2 linked regions of the Macaca mulatta genome follow. The protein of the gene in region 1 interacts with the protein of each later gene in a pairwise test. Links are inferred from orthologs where the notes say so. Each region holds a gene or a part of one and is shown on either strand. Other genes may lie near its edges.

Evidence for each region.
Region 2: the proteins of MYPN (region 1) and ANKRD1 interact in a two-hybrid assay, tested with the Homo sapiens proteins (2 studies listed by BioGRID). The link is inferred for Macaca mulatta from reciprocal best matches to the Homo sapiens genes MYPN and ANKRD1.

Annotation. Positions count from the first base shown.
Region 1 is NC_133414.1:81,551,893-81,561,336, forward strand, and holds the end of MYPN (myopalladin), read right to left. Parts: intron 7,005-9,444; coding exon 6,871-7,004; intron 3,527-6,870; coding exon 3,357-3,526; 3' UTR 1,795-3,356; downstream 1-1,794. UniProt on the Homo sapiens protein: Component of the sarcomere that tethers together nebulin (skeletal muscle) and nebulette (cardiac muscle) to alpha-actinin, at the Z lines.
Region 2 is NC_133414.1:102,937,511-102,947,360, forward strand, and holds the end of ANKRD1 (ankyrin repeat domain-containing protein 1), read right to left. Parts: intron 9,614-9,850; coding exon 9,434-9,613; intron 8,535-9,433; coding exon 8,397-8,534; intron 8,253-8,396; coding exon 8,145-8,252; intron 7,107-8,144; coding exon 7,008-7,106; intron 5,542-7,007; coding exon 5,443-5,541; intron 5,165-5,442; coding exon 5,066-5,164; intron 4,926-5,065; coding exon 4,827-4,925; intron 2,254-4,826; coding exon 2,143-2,253; 3' UTR 1,373-2,142; downstream 1-1,372. UniProt on the Homo sapiens protein: May play an important role in endothelial cell activation. May act as a nuclear transcription factor that negatively regulates the expression of cardiac genes. Induction seems to be correlated with apoptotic cell death in hepatoma cells.

The sequences.
Region 1 (9,444 bases):
CTCCAGAGCAAGACTCCATCTCAAAAACAAACAAACAAACAAACAAACAAAAAACAAGACTATTACTGAGTGCAAGTGAAGGAAGTAATGGAAGTCTGAACTGGAGCACTGCAGGGGAAAGGAAGAAACTCCTGACTATAAGAAGAATGATAGAAGTAGAATTAGCAGGACTTGTCCATTGATAGGGTAGAGGAAGCAAAAACTGACTTGGATGTTTCTTATTAGAATTATGAAGAACGTTGATGGTGCCATTAACAGAAATCATTAAACTGATTAAGGAATGATTTATAAAGGGAAGATGAATCTGATTTTGGATATGTTGAAAACAAACATCCAATGGAACTAAAATTTTTATTCAAATATTCCTCATTGCAATTGAATTCTAATTGGATTCTTTTTTTAAAGTTAATATTTTGTAGAGATAGAGTCTTGCTATTTGCTTAGGCTGGCCTCGAACTCTTGGGCTCAAGCGATCCTCCTGCCTGGGCCTCCCAAAGTGCCGGAATTACAGGCATGAGTCATCGTGCTGGGTTGAATTCTAGTGGAATTCTTAAAGCAGGGCCCTGATTTGTTTGACACAGTGATTCTCAACAAAGGGGTATTCTGCCTTTTAGGGAACATATGGCCATGTCTGGAGACATTTTGGGCTGCCACAACTTGGGGAAGAACAACTAGTGGGTAGAGGCCAGGGATGCTGCTAAACATTCCACAATGCACAGGACAGTCCGCCATAACAAAGAATTATCCAGTCCAAAGTGTCAGTACCCTTGAGGTTGGGAAACCCTGCTTTAATATAATCTAATAGCTCAAATTTCAGGAATTGTTAGGCCTGTTAATATTTGGGAGTGAGACAGTGTCATCTAGTGGCCAAATGTAATATTTATCCTAGTTCTCTGTTGAACACTAAAGGCAAGAGAAAAAATTCAGAAAGCTAAGACACAGAGATGAAGAACATCCTTTCATGGGAGAACCATCTAGGGTTTACAGAAGTAGGTGTGATGGGGAGGTCTTGTGTACAATCTAGAAGCAGTCCTGGAGTTAGAAAGTGCTCTTTAAGCTGGACACGGTGGCTTACGCCTGTAATCCCAGCACTTTGGGAGGCTGAGGTGGGTGGATCACTTGAGGTCAGGAGTTCGAGACCAGCCTGGCCAACACAGCGAAACCCCATCTCTACAAAAAATACAAAAATTAGCCGGGCGTGGTGTTGCGTGCCTGTAATCCCAGCTACTTGGGAGGCTGAGGCAGGAGAATCGCTGGAACCTGGGAGGCGGAGGTTGCAGTAAGCCAAGATCGTGGCATTGCACTGAAGCCTAGGTGACAGCAAGACTCCATTAAAAAAAAAAAGAAAGAAAGAAAGAAAAAAGTACTCTTTGCTTATAAGAGATCTCATAATAGAAGTCAATATGGAAACAATATTTTACTGGATTCCATATGAAATGCATTCTATTCCATTACGGGTGCCTATATTGCATTACTGTTACTGAATGCATTAAAAAACAGAATCTAATAATCCTGCTGAATAATTGAAATAGTTATTGCTTGGGGATGTAACCTATGGCATTTTGTTTTATTAAGAAATAAAGATTGAAAAGACTTTTAAAGTTATGAAAAAATAGAATGAAGAGCACTAGAAACTTCCACTTTGCTTCAAGAGACAGCATTCTGCATGCCTCAAATATTACCTTCTCTAGTAGGTTGTGAGCTCTCTGAGGGCAGGGACTGTGACTTATTCATATCTTTATATCTGCCTCAGTATCTAGCACAGCATCTCATACAGAGTAGACATACAAATGATTTCTCGAGTGAATGAATTTATTTTTATGCTGGAAATCCTTGCCTTGAAGTGAAGAAAGTTTCAAGCCTTTCTAAGCAGTTACTATCTGTTCACACAAATACAATGCCAGCTGGGGGTGCTTGGCACAGACAGCATCAGAGATTCGAGCACAGGGAATTGGTAACAGACACCTGCAATTCATTTCCCTGGACAGCCTAGAGCAAACTGTGCTATCATGAGCGTTCCCAGGGCAGTGTTTGGACTGGTGTGTGGGTGGTATATTCCTGCAGAATATAAGATTAGGCTATCTTATAATAGACATAATAATAGAAGATTCATTCATCCAGCAAATATTTATTGAATGTCTACTTTGTGCTAGGTACTCTTCTAGGCACTAGGGATATCACAGTGAACTCAAGTCTAAAAATTCCTTAAGAGGCAGGGTTTGAATTGGTGATTAGAATAAAGATGCATATTCCCCTTTCCCCCAACTTTTCCACTTAGCAGAATATTTTCTACATAGAAAACGCAATTTGACTAATGATCTCAAAGCATTTCAAAGCGATTAAAGACCTCTCCTTCCAAAACCACTGCTCTGCTGGGGCAAGTGACAAAAACAACACTCTCCCATCATTTCCTCTCCTTGTTTGTATCTCTTCCTTCCTCCTGCACTTTCAGACTTTTGGGGAGAGGGGTAGGAGCGCGTGAGGTGTATTTTGTGGGTCAATGATGACTCTTGCACATTTTGTAAGTGGCAGTTGAAGCTAGTAGTTTTTAAAGTGACCCCGCAGAGGATTTCTTTCTGATTGGCTTATTAACAATCCTTTAGTTCTAGTGTCTAGGGATATGCAAAGTCAGAAAAAACCAGTCACCACCCAAAAGAAAATGGTGCAGACAAGCTGGTAAGGCCATGTTTTGGCCACAAAATAAGTGCACTGTGCAATATCAACTGTTTCAGTGAGTTTTTGGACTTTCAAGCACATTTTGACACCTTATTATGTGGCTCAGTACACCCAGGATATGCAAATCAAAAGTGTCTGTCTGCATACGTGAGTTGTATGGCATGACCTCCTAATGCTAAGTGGAAGCTGATTTAGTGAATTCACCAAAACTACTGCTATACATGTAATCGATGAAAGGCGATGGTGACCTCCCCACCTTTCTCCTTGGCATTGTTTGGTGAGTTAGTTATATCCTAAGGTCACTACTGCCTAACTCCTCTCAGCCCAGGCATATTGCTCCTAATTGCTCCTAGTACAACCTAAACATCCCTAACACAACAGGGGGCAGGGGAACATGCTAGTTTTTTCCCAAAGCAGTGGATGGCAACTGTGTGACATCTTTGGTTCATCTGTATTATCTTCTCACATCTCTGTTGGAATCTTTAGAAGGCACGGCCCTACCTTTCTCCCCCAGCTGAGACTGCAAGAATCCCTAGCTGACTTGTTCAAAGCACTCCTTGACACAGGTCCAGCAGCGTGGGAACTTACTCAACTTCGGTTGTTTGGAAACCACCAAGTCTGGCTTGTTCTCATTCCCCCTCCACAGTCCGCTCTGTTACACAGCAGGCACCCAGACATTCTTAAAGTTCATCACTCTCCACCACACTCCGAGAAGAGCATGAATACACAATCGTGCTTTCCATGGAGGAAAAGGCAGAAAATATGTCAAGTCCTTTACTGGTGAGAGATCCGTAGCGACTGCCGCTGGGCCGGACAGACATGGGCGGTGGGATCTGATGGTGCCACTGAGCTGGAAAATGGACCAAACAATGTGTTATGATCAAAGGAATGCAGTCCACCAGGCACACCGCAGAGGCGCATTCGGTCCTCACCCTGATGCTCCCTGCAGATTCTTGGTAAAGCATGTAACTATATCTGGGTCTGAATTGCCTCATCTGTAGAAGAGAACAATAAAGCCTTCCCTGCCAGGAATAAGGAAACTGTGCTGGCAATGTCTTAAGCCCCTAATTCCAAAATCTGTGATTCTAATTCAGTAAGATACTAGAATCCTACAAGTGAGAGATTAGAATTCCTCTAAGATGGGGCCGGGCACAGTGGCTCATGCCTGTAATCCCAGCACTTTGGGAGGCTGAGGCGGGCACATCACTTGAGCTCAGGAGTTCAAGACCAGGCTGGCCAACATGGTGAAACCCAGTTTCTACTAAATACAAAAATGAGCTGGACATGGTGGTGTACACCTCTAATCCCAGCTACTCAGGAAGCTGAGGCATGAGAATCACTTGAACCCAGGAGGTGGCGGTTGCAGTGAGCCAAGATCACGCCAAGGCATGCCACTTCACCTAAGTGACACAGCGAGACTCCATCTCAAAAAAAAAAAAAGAATTCTATAAGATGGAAGAGTGAGTGACTAGGGCGATTTCTCAAGCTTATCCCCTTCCACCAGCCTACCATGAAGGCCTGTTAGGGGCAGTGTACAGAGGGTTGTAGGCTCTCAAAGAGGGTACCTCAAAAGATAGAGATAAGAAAGCTGCAGAAATGAAAGCCAAACAATGGGTTTGACCTGAGCAGTGCCTACCTCACACCCTAATCACCCTCATCAGCCATTACTTATCTACCCATCTCCCCAATCAGGTTCTATTGTTACAGCAAGAAGACTGAAAAGTAATTTAGGTACAATCAACCATGGTTCAGGGACAAAAGACAATTTATTAGAGTTTCTATGTTCACCAAGTGCTGCTGTTTTTAGCAGACACGACTTTAAGGTTTGAACATGGCCTGAGTGAGATACCCATCCAAACTTCATAGTCTCTGCCGTGGTTCCTGATTCAGAAATTACCAGGCAATCTTCTGACTAGGTTTCTGGGTACTTTGATGTGGAGAAGCGTGTTCCCTAGGTGGGGAACTCTCATGCTGTGGGTCCTGGAAAGCTGTGCCCCTTTCTAGCATTCCGATTTAGAAATTGGTCCTTTGTTGATTTCATCATCTTGATTCAGTTTTTCAGTCTACATACCTCTGAGTGAATTCGGAAAAATAAAAATCTGGGGGACCAAACTTAGAGCAGTTTCACTAAAGAGCAGACACTCAGTAAGGCCTGCTCTTGCACAGTCTCTCCTCCCAGCCCCTCCATCTCTTAGCCCTTCCCTGCTCTCTCTGACATCGTAACTGGACTACTGCAGTTCCTAGGATTAGGAAGTGAGACAGGAGAGAGGGGAGCCCTACGTGTCCCCATTCCTCAGAAAGGCAGGAAGTGTGGTGGTGGGGAAGGGAACTGATTCCAGCCCGAGTCCTCCACGCCTTCTCCATCCTAGGTCCCAGCTGAGGAAACAGCACTGCCTATCGTTGGTGCTATGGAAGCAGGACAGGAACGAAAGGGAGAGGAGAGCCAGGACAAAGTGACCTGGAAACTCACCCACTGGAGGGCAGGATTGGCGCAAGAGTCATCTGTTTCAGGGCTTATTGGTAGGGAGTTTCTCAGTTGGAGACCTACTGCCTTCTGACTTGGTGAAGACTGGGAAATGGCTAAGGACTTAGCCTTGATTAAGGAACCTATCACTATTGGCCTCTTTCTCCCCCAATTTTTCCAGGGAAAAGCACATTAGTGTCGTTTAATTTCTTCTCAAGTCCTAGGATAAGGGAAAATAACCAGAAAATTACATATTTTCTCCAAAAACTAGACCTAGGGAAAATGGCAGGCTGAAGCCCCTCCCGCATGGTACTAAACAAACGGAATACCTGCTGTGTACCCATAAATAACAGAGACGTCTGTCAGGCAACAGACAGAGCTACTCTTATTTATTATGTTGGTTAATCAGGTTAAGCCAGTTTTGAATGTGAGACTTTCTAATCAATTATGTTCTTTAAAAAAAGGATTAAAAAAAAAAAGAAACACTCTTTTGGGTTAAGAAATATGTCTCCAAAAATACCAGTTAATGTCAAAAAGTGTAGGATTGACTACACAAATACATAAATAAAAATTAATTTCTTGGATCCTTTTGAAAATTGGAAATGTGGTTCAAAGAAACAATGCAAAGGCCTAGATTTGCTTCCTAGCTGTAGTCACTAACCTCTCTGAGCCTTCCACTAAATATATAACACAGCCAATTCAGGTGTGGGGGAGCTTCCCAGAAGACGTGCTCCAGCTCAGTCTAAAAGGTTGAGTGGAAACTCACAGGGAGGGTGGGGCGGGCTGTTCCAGGTGGTGGGACAGCTTGTACAATGTTGTTACTCTCATGTGATCTTCAGCCTTAGATGAAGGTAACTACAATTATAATAATCTCATGGGTCTGGGAGATTTAAGGGTATCACTTTGGATCCCGCCTTTGGAAGAGAGAGGGGATCCTATGTGTCATTCTACAAATGTCACTTGATATTATCATTATTAGGACAGCTCTCTATTATTAGAGACGTCTGATTGGGGGATTGGAGCAATACACATTTGTTAAATGAATAAATGAAAGGAGTGTCAAAAATTCTGCCGGGGGATCACAGGTAGTGGGAAGTTCCAGTGGGTAGCCCGCAGCAGCAAGGAGATGGCAAGAAAACACTGGATGTTCAGAAGCACAAGCACTTGGAAACTCTGGACTAGCTGTAATTCCTGATATTAGAGGCCCTCTTTTGGAAGAAGGTTAAGCTCATAGTAAAATGTAAAAGTAATGCCCTGAGGTAACCAGGATGAGATGACTTTTAAAATCTATCTCTTAAGCACTAAAATATAGTATAGCCTACCCAATTCATTTATGGAAGCATACTCCATCTATCTTTATTTTATTTATTTATTTAGAAGCAGAGTCTTGCTCTGTTACCCAGGCTGGAGTGCAGTGGTACAATCTCGGGTCACTGCAACCTCTGCCTCCTGGGTTCAAGCGATTCTCCTGCCTCAGCTACCTGAGTAGCTGGGATTACAGGCATGTGCCACCATGCCTGGCTAATTTTTGTATTTTTAGTGGAGGTGGGGTTTCACCATGTTGACCAGGCTGGTCTTGAACTCCTGACCTCGGGTGATCTGCCTGCCTTGGCCTCCCGAAGTGCTGAGATTACAGGCGTGAGCCACCTTGCCCGGCCCACTTATCTTTAAAGAAAGATTTGTAAGCTATCAGTTGCATACAGATGTTCAACTGACAGCATTACACTTACCGTATATATCCAGCCTGGCAGTGCACGACACGATGCCGGCTTCGTTCTTGGCTGACAACGTGTACCATCCAGCATCTGATTTCTTGGCTGGCTGAATGAGAAGGCAGGCATACCCTGTCGTGTCCTGGTGCATACTGGAGAAAAAGAGAATATACCTATATTTTATTTGGGAGCGGAAGTGCCTTTGTCAAATTTAGGGTTCCAGGAAGAAGGGGGAACTCAGCTTAAGGCAAACATCAAGACAAATTTGAAGGTGGAAGACGTCACAGAAGAGCAGCAGTGAGCTTAATCATACTAGGAGGAGGGGGCAGCTGGGGCTGAGACCTGCTCTTGCCCTCCCCACTGCTGCAAGTCCACTGAAGTTGCACTCCCCACCAGCAGAACCCCCACTTTTCACAACCAAAGTACAGAAAGATCTCTTTTCCAAACAAGGTTGGACATTGCATCAATTACTTTGTTAGGACGCTCTGGGAAAGCAGGACAAAACAGAGCCAGGGGGTGGATGGACTGGCAGCGTAGACAGCATTTCCTAATGTAACCAGCCGGGCTCACGCAGCATCCAGCTTCATGAGGTTTAGGAGGAAACCAGCCTGCTGTTTCCTTCTGTTTTTCTCCACATCAATAGTTTTTCACCTTGACTGCATGTTGGAATCCCAGGCCACATGCTAGGTAACCCTATCAGAATCAAAGGCTGGGATCCAAGCATTAGGATTTTTGGAAACACCCCAGAGATTCCAATAGGCAGCCATGGATCAAAAAACATCGGGCCACATGTTCCCTACACCCCTTGTTGGCCTGGCCCTCTTATCACTCATAGTTCCAAGCTCTCCTATGGGGCTGCCACAGCTCATTTGCACAGTAGGGGAAATAGCAACAGCTTCCTGAGCTCAAAGGATGAATAAGTGTTTGCCTTTCATTGAAAGTTATTATGTCTAAGAATTTATAAAGTAATAAGAATAAACAAGAATAAATCAATTAATAACAAGTACAACAAGAATAAAGTAATGAAATATCCACCACGATTTCACTAGATTAACACATTGGCTACCTTCACCTTCTGATTAGTTAATTAATTAATCCATTCATTCTTCGATATATTTCTTTAGTAAACACTGGATACTATGTTGGGGAAAATGCTGGGTGCTGTTGCCTTCGGTGGTGAGGGTGTAAAGATGAACAGGACAAAAATTTCTTCTCTTTTTTTTGAGACAGAGTCTTGCTCTGTTGCCCAGGCTGGAATGCAGTGGTATAATCTTGGCTCACTGCACCCTCCACCTCCCGGGTTCAAGAGACTCTTATGCCTCAACTTTCCAAGTAGCTGGGATTACAGATGCCCACCACCATGCCTGCCTAATTTTTTGTTGTTTTTAGTAGAAATGGAGTTTCACCCTGTTAGCCAGGCTGGTCTCGAACTCCTGACCTCAGGTGGTCCACCCGCCTTGGCCTCCCAAAGTGCTGGGATTATGGGTGTGAGCCACCACACCTAGCCAAAGAAATTCCTTCTCTAGAAGGATCCCTAAGTTTAATGGAAAATAAATAAATAAAAGATAAATAAGTAGAAATAAAGATAAATAGAATGCAAATGCTAGAGTAATGCTGTGGGAAAGATGCCTGGGGAAGACAGAGGGGAAAAGGTTATTCTGGGAAGCCGCAGTCATCAAGGAGGAAGCATGAAGATACTGGATGTTCAGAAGCACAAGCATATGTGAGGTTAGGCTCACAGAAAAATGTAACACTGTATAAAGACCTGAGATGACTAAAATGAGATTACTTTAACAATCTATTTCTCAAGCACTGAAATATAATGCAGCCAATTCAAGGGTGGGAAAACTTCCCAGAAGATGTGCTCCGGCTCAGTCTCAAAGGTCCAGTGGAAACTCACAGGGAGGGTGGGATGTGGCTGTTCCAGGTGGTGGAACAGCCTGCACAAAGGCAGGGGAGGGAGGGAGCCATGTTCCTTACAGCTGGGGTTGGAGGGCACACCGGGTACTGGCAAGTGGGGGGACTGGGAAGAAGGCAGGGGAGAGGGTCACGTGCACCATGGTAAAGGGATGGGACCCTTCCTCGCAGATTATGGGAAACTAATGATGTATTTTAAGCAGGAGCTGATATGATCCGTTTGTATTTTTTATTTATTTATTTTTTCTGAGATGGAGTCTCACTCTGTAGCCCAGGCTGGAGTGTAGTGGTGTGATCTCAGCTCAGTGCAACCTCTGCCTCCCAGGTTCAAGTAATTCTCCTGCCTCAGCCTCCCAAGTAGCTGGGATTACAGGCACGTGTCACCATGCCTTGCTAATTTTTGTATTTTTAGCAGAGACAGGGTTTTGCCATGTTAGCCAGGCTGCTCTCCAACTCCTGACCTCAGGTGATCTACCTGCCTTGGCCTCCCAAAGTGCTGGGATTACAGGCGTAAGCCACTGCACCCTGTCAGTTTGCATTCTTAAAAGATCATCTTCACAGTGGTGAGGAGGTGTATTGAATAGGGCTTGAGCCTGGCCGCAGAGAGACACATTAGGATGCTATTGCTGTAGTTTGATGAGGTGAGGCAATAGCAGCGGAAATTCATGCATTTGT
Region 2 (9,850 bases), about 21 Mb from region 1:
CTCTCCTGGGAGGTCTTTGACATTGCCAGCCCCTGTCCACAAGAATTGTTAAATCTCTAGTTAATTTGCATTTTTCTAATGATCAGTGATCTTGAGCTTTCTTCTCCAGATGTTTGTTGGCCGCATGAATGTCTTCTTTTGAGAAGTGTCTGTTCATGTCCTTTGCCCACTTTTTTGATGGGGTTGTTTTTTCTTGTAAATTTAAGTTCCTTGTAGATTCTGGATATTAAAGCTACGTCAGACGGATAGGGTCTGAATGGCAATTATTAAAAAGTCAAGAAATAACAGATGCTGGCAAGATTACAGAAAAATAGGAACACTTTTATACTGTTGATGGGAATGTAAATTAGTTCATCCATTGTGGAAAATGGTGTGGTGATTCCTCAAAGATCTAGAACCAGAAATACCATTTGACCTAGCAATCCCATTATTGGGTATATAACCAAAGGAATATAAATAATTCTATTACAAAGATACATGCATGCATATGTTTATTGCAGCACTATTCACAATTGCAAAGACATGGAACCAACCCAAATGCCCATCAATAATAGACTGCATAAAGAAAATGTGGTAGATATACACCTTGGAATACTATGCAGCCATAAAAAGAATGAGATCATGTCCTTTGCAGGGACATGGATGGAGCTAGAGGCCATTATTCTTAGCAAATTAACACAGGAGCAGAAAACCAAACACCACATGTTCTCACTTATAAGTGGGAGCTGAACAATGAGAACACATGGACACAGGGAGGGGAACAAAACACACTGGGACCTGTAGAGGGGTGGGGTGGGAGGAGGGAGAGCATTAGGGAAAATAGCTAATGCATGCTGGGCTTAATACCTAAGTGATGGGTTGACAGGTGCAGCAAACCACCTTGGCACACGTTTACCTATGTAACACCCCTGCACATACTGCACATGTACCCCAGAACTTAAAATTTAAATTAAAAAAAAAAATCACTCGTTAAGCCCTGATGGGAACTTCTTAAGGAATGCGGGTTTACCATGCAGAAATCATTCTGACCACCAGGGGTCTCTTTCTACACATGACTGGGACTGAAGGCTCGCTAGAATTCCTTTGTGTCTTTACAGCTCTCAGCCTAGTTGCTGAGTGTGGTGGTGCCATTTCGTGGCCTGTCACCTGGGAGCTTATCAGAAAAGCAGAATCTCAGGCCCCACCTGAGACCAACTGAATCAGAAATCTGCATTTTAACCAGATCCCCAGGTGATCTGTATGCATATTAAATACTGGGAGTGCTGTTGTATGGGACATTTCTAATCCACAAAACTTGGAAAACAATGGGAGAAAACCCCTCCTATAGAGCTTGTTTTTCACATAGGACATTTCCACCACACTTATAGACAGGTTTAGAGGTTTAGAGTTTGCTTGCTTTTATTATGAATATAAAATGTACATACAATACAATATACATTTACACATTTACAGTTTGCATTTCCTTTCATCTTTTTTGAGCAAATTCAATTTTGCATGTCCCAGTTTGCCGCTCCTTCCACTGCCTTGCACTTACACTCATGACGTTCTCTTCACCTGGGTACTCTGTGTACTTGGTTAAAAAAAAAAAAAAAAAAAAAAAAGTCCTGCCTGGGGGTAAAATAGCTGGCTTCACTGTCCTTTTCACAGAATCACTTTCCTTCCATTGTTTCCTTTCCTGTCCCTACATGCCTTCCCTTGCTTCATTCAAACTTCTGCATTAAAAATTCAGGAGAAAAGAGGGCTGCAATAATCAGCCCTCTCTTAAAAACTCTTACATAAGCGAATGACACGTAAGTAGGCACTTGAACTTTGCTCTTTCACCTGGTTTAAGAACTACCTATGGGAGGGCTCTGAAAGTGTTATATACAAATGAAGCTCTGGTCACCAAATGGATTATCATGAAGGTCTGAATATCAGTAGCGTGGTAGTAAATAAATAAACAGAAATACATAAAAATAAACAGAGTTTCACTAAAGGAAATTTAAACACATATAACCCTGTGCTTTCTCAAAACTTCATTAGGTACATCTTCACAACACGTTGATAAATAGAAACTAGATTTTATGGCTAGTGTCTCTTCTCTTGGGCCATGCCTTCAAAATACCAGTAAACATTTACTGATCAAAGAGTCTGTCGTTTCCCTCAGAATGTAGCTATGCGAGAGGTCTTGTAGGAGTTCTCTTTGAGGCTATCGAATATTGCTTTGGTTCCATTCTGCCAGTGTAGCACCAGATCCATTGGCGTCTTCCCAGCCTAATCAAATGAGACAAGGAAACTTGACTTTCAGGTGGGTGACATCTGTAAATTCACATTCTCTGTGTGTGTTTCATGAGGTAAGGATTAGGTATATAACAGTGTTTTACAGTTTCCACTAGTGATCTGCAGTTTGTACTCAAACCAACCCTTCACTGTTTCTCAGAGGGATGCTTTTCCCATTTTAAGAGTAGAAATCTTTTTCACGTGGGACCATTCCAGGTATTGGTAAAATCCATTGTCCCTAGATACTAAGTGTCAAGAGCACCTCAAGTCATTTTGAAATTCATAAAATGCCTCCATACATCTTCCAGTATCCTGTGGAATGGGTTCCCGGAGGTGGCAGCATCCCTCTTGGACCAAGAATCAATGCCTATCCATTTGAACGATAGTTCTTTGATTGATAAGAAATGGTAGTAAATGAGCTGCATCAATAACTTGGCTTAAGTACTCAGGTACTGCTTGGGTACTATTACTGTTCCTGGGAACAGATTTTTCAGAACTTGTCAGAATTTTCAATGAACTCTCCCAGGAAATTTGTTTTTCTTGGAGTTGATGGCAATGACATGTGTGAACAAATCATTTTTGAGACGAAATTTTGATTTCCCTTATGCACATGTCTCAAGATTTAAAAATATTAAAACCATATCATCTCTCAATTCTTATCTATAGATCTGAGAAGTCCTAATTTTTTCCATCTCTATTCATTGAGAAGTTTCTTTTTAACCCAGTGACTGCAAATTGGCAGCTTTGAGATGCAAACCAGAATAGAGACTTGTTTTGTTTTGACCCAAAGAGAACTTAGATTTTTGTTAAGATTAGTATGAATTGGCAACAATTGGAAACCAAGAGATTTCCCAACTGGATTTGTGACTTCTATGAAAAAATCAGAAGAGTTAACAACATGGTACCCATGGTTCTACAGAGCAACATAGACTGGGTTGGGGAAGGGCCACCTTTAAAAGAGTTATGTGCACAGACCCTGACAACCACACATTGAAGTCACTTATGCCATTTGCCCGGCACAGTGAGGTCAGCCTGCAGTCAGATTACGCGATCTGTAGGTATTTAAATTAGTGGCCCTATAACTTTCATTTTGGAACTTCCCCACCTTTGTAGTGTCTTTCTCTAGGAACAGTCATCAGTAGACATGAATATAGAGTTTTGGATAATGAGAAAATATTGTATGCTGCTCCCGATCTCCTTTACATGGTATCAATAGGTTATTGATCTTTGGGGAAAACATCAATCCATTGGGTCAATGACATTAATAGTTCCATAAACCTGATGCTAAGATCTAACTGATAATTCAGAGCCCTATTTGTATATTCTGGGCTACTCTTCCAAAAATTCCTTGCACTTCTCTCCATTGAAATTTATATCGTGATTTTTCTGGCTACTTACACAGTCTCCCTAAAGCTGTATGCTGCCATTTGTCTCTGCTGGGAGTGTCTGACTGCCTGAAAAAAACTCTTCACATTTTCTGCAGCTTTCAAGATTTCATTGAACCTGCTCTTTTTCTGAGAGTTTTAAAAAATTACTAGATAAGATCAATTCCAATATCTAGACTGAGGGAGCCCTACTGTTAACACTTTCCCACTCCAAGCAATCTTCATTTATCACCATTCTTTGTTCCTGTCACCAAGCCAGATTTTTTTTAAACGGTAAAATATTCTTCTCAGTCTTTGCAACACAAATAAGGGGAGAAAATTATTTGCATTTATATGATGACTGAGTTTCCCTCCCCACCCCCTCCTCTTTTTTGTAAAGTGATTCTTCAAAAGCTTCTTTAAATTTATTTCTTCAGAAATTTATACCTGTTCCTCTGGGCAATATTTTTTAAGCTTATATTAGATGGTGTTTGTCTGGAAATTGAGACCATGAGGAAACGTTGGTTATGTTCCCTGCTTACAGATGAAGTTAAATTAATATGTACTTATACAAGAATTTTCAGGGCCTAAATATAGGAAATTATTTTGAGAGATGTGAAGACAAATCCAAGTGGAGAATGGATAGAAATTATCTGAAAAAAAATACAGGCAAAAGCACAGCTACCCCTGGAAGAAAATGATGACATTTCACATTGCTGTAAGGAGGAAAGGGACTTTCTGAATTACTCAGATTGGATATTGATTAACCTTAGTTCACTGCCTGCACTGACCCTTGTGGAATTTTAGGACATTTTGGAAATGGTGGATGCCTTTATTTCTAACTTCCTCAGCCCTTGCACAGACAGAAATGGCCAAGGCAGATTGGACTTCTAGGTGTTTGTGGGGATGAGCAAATTTTGACTATCTTTCATTTCCAAGACCAAATTGTAAAAGAATTATTATGCACTGTATCAGGCACTGAGGTCACTGAGGTCATAGAAGTATCTATGGCTTCCCCCATCTCTGGCCGTGTGACCTGAGTCCTAACCAAGATAAACACCATCCTTGGGGAAATGGGCAGGGGCATTTAGACCATCGAAGACCCCTCAAATGCTGCCACTGTGGGAGTCGTTTCACCTATTTAAGAAATGCTCCTGGAAATTGGAAAGCTTGCAAGCGGTGTTTCTTGTTTCCAGTACTTACACAGTTCTTGATGTTGAGATCCGCGCCATACATAATCAGGAGTCTGATCATCTTATAGCGGTTCAGTCTCACCGCATCATGCAACGGGGTATCTCCTTCCTAGAGAAGCAGAGTCAACAGGTTCAAGCTGGGTCTGAGGCCAGGAAGTGGGTCCTGCAAGGGCACCCAGGCTTGGGAGAGTGATTCCCAATACAAAAGCAGTGAAGCTTTGGGAAACCCGAGCGTGTCCAGCTACTCACTCTGTCTTTGGCGTTGAGGTCTGCCTCACAGGCGATAAGATGCTCCGCGCACTCATAGTGGCCAGTCCTCACCGCCACATGCAGCGCTGTGCTGAGCAACTGGAAAATTGGAAAACGCTGCTGATTCGCTAGGAATGAGGACAGAGGCTGTCCCAGACCCCAAGACATGTGCGAGGGGGAGAAGTGGTCACTAGGGTGCCTGCGCACAGCATGGGCCTCCAGATGACTTTAATGGAGAGGCAAGGTTAGGAGATGAAGGAGTAGGGGAGGAGGACGGGCGAGTAGGGGAGAGGGAGGCGGGGGGAAGAATGTGAGAAGTGGAGAAGGGGAGGCAGGGAGGGGGAAGGGATGAATGAAGGGAGAAGAAGAAGAAATACCTTATCTCGGGCGCTAATTTTTGCTCCTTTGTTCAGCAACAATTTTAAAACATCCAGGTTTCCTCCACGGCTTGCCCAGTGGATGGCTGTGGATTCAAGCTACACCGGGACGGAAAAAGACCCAACAATGTGAAGGAGAATGTGGTCTGGGGAATTAGAATCTGGTTGCTAGGGGCATCCGTGATAATACTGAGTTGTCCCCATCTAGATCGCCAATTCTAACTGGAGTCAAAGGTTCTTACCAAATGTGTTAGCTAAATTACGTGTGTGTGTGTGCATACGTGTGTCTTATTAGGAGGCTCTTAATAAATCTAATAATGTTTTAAAAGAATAAGAGCGACCATTTATTGAGACAGTTCTCATGCCAACATGGTGCTACACTCTAGACACCTTGATTCTTCCAGCAACATTTTGAGGTAGATGTTACTATGCACATTTTGCAGATAAGAAAAACCAGGTTCCAAAAAGTTCAAGTTTCTAGCCCAAGGAAACACAATTAATAAGAGGCAGAATACATAGTCCAACCCCCATCTGCCTGGAACTTCTAACTACTTTTGTCAAATGTACTCAAAAGTTCTAAACACATGTATTTAAAAATTCTAGCAGAATAAAAGTTGTCCCTTCCAAAATATTTTAATCTGGATCTGTCACCTCATCTAGGGTCCCTGTCGCTCTTTCTCTATCTCTGTGGGTTTTCTGCTCTCATTTTTGCTAGCACAGCCTCTGTACCTCAACTATAGTCACTTGTGTCTACAGTTGTAACGTGTATAGTTACACCTGGGAGACCCTCTCCTCACTGATCTATGTGGTTGATATGCCCCTGGCCTTAATCTCACACTCAAGATTTTTAGTTTCCATGCAAACTTCATATTTTGTTTCTTTATTTTTTTTTTTCAATGTGTTTATGTTTTGGATTCAATTTTGGCCAAGTCCTTTGGATTTCTTTGATATCCCGTTTCTGCTTTGCTATAAAGTCAAAATGAGCTGCATTTAAGTACATAAAGAATTTTCCCAGCTCAATCTGCAGTTCATAAATTATGCTGCATACTGGTCTTTGTAAAAATCACAGTGATTGAATTATTGAGGTCTGAATAGCAGCTACTTTCCATAGATGCAACTCATTTCATATTCAGTCTAGCCCTAAATCTCATTGGTAACAATTGGCATCTATAATATAAAGTGTACAGCTAGAGAATTCATATATGTTGCTGGCAGCCAAGGGACCATGAGCAGGCTGCCCTGTGAACAATGGAGGGACAAGGCTGTTGAAAGGCAAGTGTCGAAAATGAATGACTAACTCACTGATGAGGATATTGAATTCAGTTGAACAGCTTTCACTTCCTTCTTTTCCCTAAAATATTCCTCTATTTTCAGTATGTATGGAAAATATTTTCACATGACCTACTCTCATCTCCCAACTTTTCTTTATTTGGAGAAATGAGCTTTTGCCTAGTTCTCTCAGATCAATTTTCAGTCCAATCAGTCCGGTTTTGCATTGGAGGTTTTCCGGAGCTTCATATAGTCTACTTCTTTTGGCTCATTCCCAAGCAAAGAAATATATTTACCATATCACGGAATTCGATCTGGGCTCCAGCTTCCATTAACTTCTCCACAATTGCCAAATGTCCTTCCAAGCATGCTCTATGAAGAGCTGTCCGTTTATACTGTCAGAACAGAGATTTTAAAAAGAGATAGCAATAAATATAAAAATGTGCATAAACCCTTTTAAGAGCTATGAAGCTGGAGATTCTGATGACCTAACTGATAGAAACTCAAGTGCTTCTTTATGAATAGAAATGTCAAAGTTAACTAAAGTTGCAGAATCAGAACAATTATCCTGCAACTAATATTTGAGCTTCCTTCAACATACATTTCTAAGGGCTCAAAGGCCTACGTTGAGGAATGTGAACTTAAAGGCTCAAAACTGTCTAAATGCTGACGTCTCCCTTTCTTGTATCTTGCACCTTCCTTGTTCATGTAACATTACCATGCAGATCAGACAGTTTTCTTGTATCTAGGACTGTTGCTAGACTGACTATCAAAAAGTTTCCATTCATTTTTAGGAGAATGGGAGACACGTTTTTAGTTCAACTTTAGAAGCGATCCCCAATTTCACTTCATGGGGGAAAGAATACAAAAGGATTAGTGATTTCTGATAAATTGGCTTTATCTGAATGGGCGAATGGACTATTAGAGCTGGAACAACTTTAGGCATTATTTCACTCCAATGCCCCATGTTTACAGATAAGGAAACCACAGCCCAGAGGATGCAAATTAGCTGCTCAAAACCAAATAGCCAAGTAGTGGTACAACTGGCCCCTGAACTCCAGTCTCCAGATTTCCTATCTAGTGTTGACATGTTTGGTTTTAATCCAAGATGATGCTAATTATCTCTCTCTAAAGGTGACTCTTTGGCCCACATTAAAATCTTATCACAAGGATCTAAGAAGTTAAAAAAAAAACTGAAAAATCAGCCAGATGTATATGAGTGCAAAAGACAATACAATCCGTAGCACTGATCCAATATATATTTATTTTTTGGACCACTGAACTCTCCTATTAGGCTCCTGGCACACACAGCAACAGCTGGGGAAACTGTTTCAGGTGGAAGGACTTTGGCATTATATTAGCAAGACTGCAGTAAAGCATAAGAAACATAAAATTAATGTGCTGGATTTTGCAGTGCTTTGCATGAGTCTTACCTCATCACAAACATCTGGGTTGTTCTTGTCTGACAAGAATTTTTCTACTACTGGCAGTTTATTCTCCAGAGCAGCCTTCAGAAACGTAGGCACATCCACAGGTTCCGTCTAAAGCCAAAAAATATAGATATATATACATAGCATGAGAGTTACCGTGAGCTTGCCAACATTCAATCAAACCCTCCACAGATATTTGCTCCCCTGTAGCACAATACTGGACACGTATTACTGAAAACCAAAAAAAGTCCTTACAATGATTTCAGGTTCTGGTTCCTTTACAATGGGAACTTTAGTTTTCCTGTATTTTTTCCTTTTCTTCAGTTGAATGATTATTTCAAGGTCTTCTAAATTTTCAAGCTTTGATCTTTGTTCTAGTTTTTTCTTTTTGAGCTAAAAAGAAATTCGTATTTCAAAAATATGGTGAGTTCTACTGACAAGCATTCTGGTTGTGTCTAAACTAAATCTGCAAGGTCTGAGATAAACATGTGAACAGTTTGAGCAAAAACATTTTTTAAAAATTATATAAATCTTTGACTTCATTTTAGGGATTTCTTATTCAGATATTTATCTGGGAGTCTAATTTTCAGCTAATTGCCATCATCTTTACTTCTGTTGCTTGTAGAATCAGCCCTTGCCTAACTGAGGACACAATCTGGTCTCTAAGTGATGACTTTGTAATTAATGCCGTAAACAAGCTCTAGATTTTTGAAGGATTTTTAAAATTATGCTCAAAACTTGGTTTAATTTTTGAGCATGATAAAAAAGAATCTAACAATAAATGTTAAGCTCTGAAATATCAATGTCATTCTCTTTCACTAGGCAGAGCCTTCTAAAACAGACTGTCCAGGTACCACAGCTAACTAAAGCAACTTTTATCTGTGTTAGTAATTAAGGAAAATTCACCCAGAAACACAGATTGTGTCAACACAGACAGCAGACAGTTAAACAATGATCCAAGGACCACAGACCATGTTATTGAGAAAAAGAGATCTCCCTTGCTTGGGATTAACTACATGGTGTGTAACATCAGGAATTCACTGGACATGTGTATCTTTCAATCAAAACATGGTCACAGCACATTTATTCATTGATTCAGAATTCAGAGGTCATAGTCTTGTCAAAGAATTATTCCCAAAACCTGTTCCATACAAGTTGCCTCTTTATGGGTTAGAATCTGGTAAAGAAACATCTTAATGATTGGGTTTGCTTCTCTCTTCTCCTTCCCTGGCATTTCCAATCCCTGCTCCAGCCCCAACATCCTACTAGTGGATTCCACAGATGGCTCTCACCTCTGCCTCTCGTTGTTTCTCGCTTTTCCACTGTTGCTCCCCCAGGGTCACAGGGTGGGCTGGAAGTGTCTTCAGATCCTCCTGCTTCTCTAAAGTAACAGCAGCCTCATACTCTCCATCTCTGAAATCCTCAGGAAGGAATTCCCCTGCCTCCCCGTTGCCATTCTTCTTCCCAGTGACCTATGAGGGAAGAAGATGGCAGCGTCAGAAGCAGCAGCCTTGTCCTGGGTCCTTCTTCACAGACAATGCTGCAGGAGGCTCTGGGTCCTTCTTCCCTGGGAACAGCCACCTTTGAGCAGTGCACTCGCAGATCTCAAGCTGCGACACACGCACGCTGCTACAAATGTCTCAGAATTAACTTCAGGTGCTTGTCCTACTCTCTTGGTTAAATCAAAGCTTGGGTTAGGTTGACATATT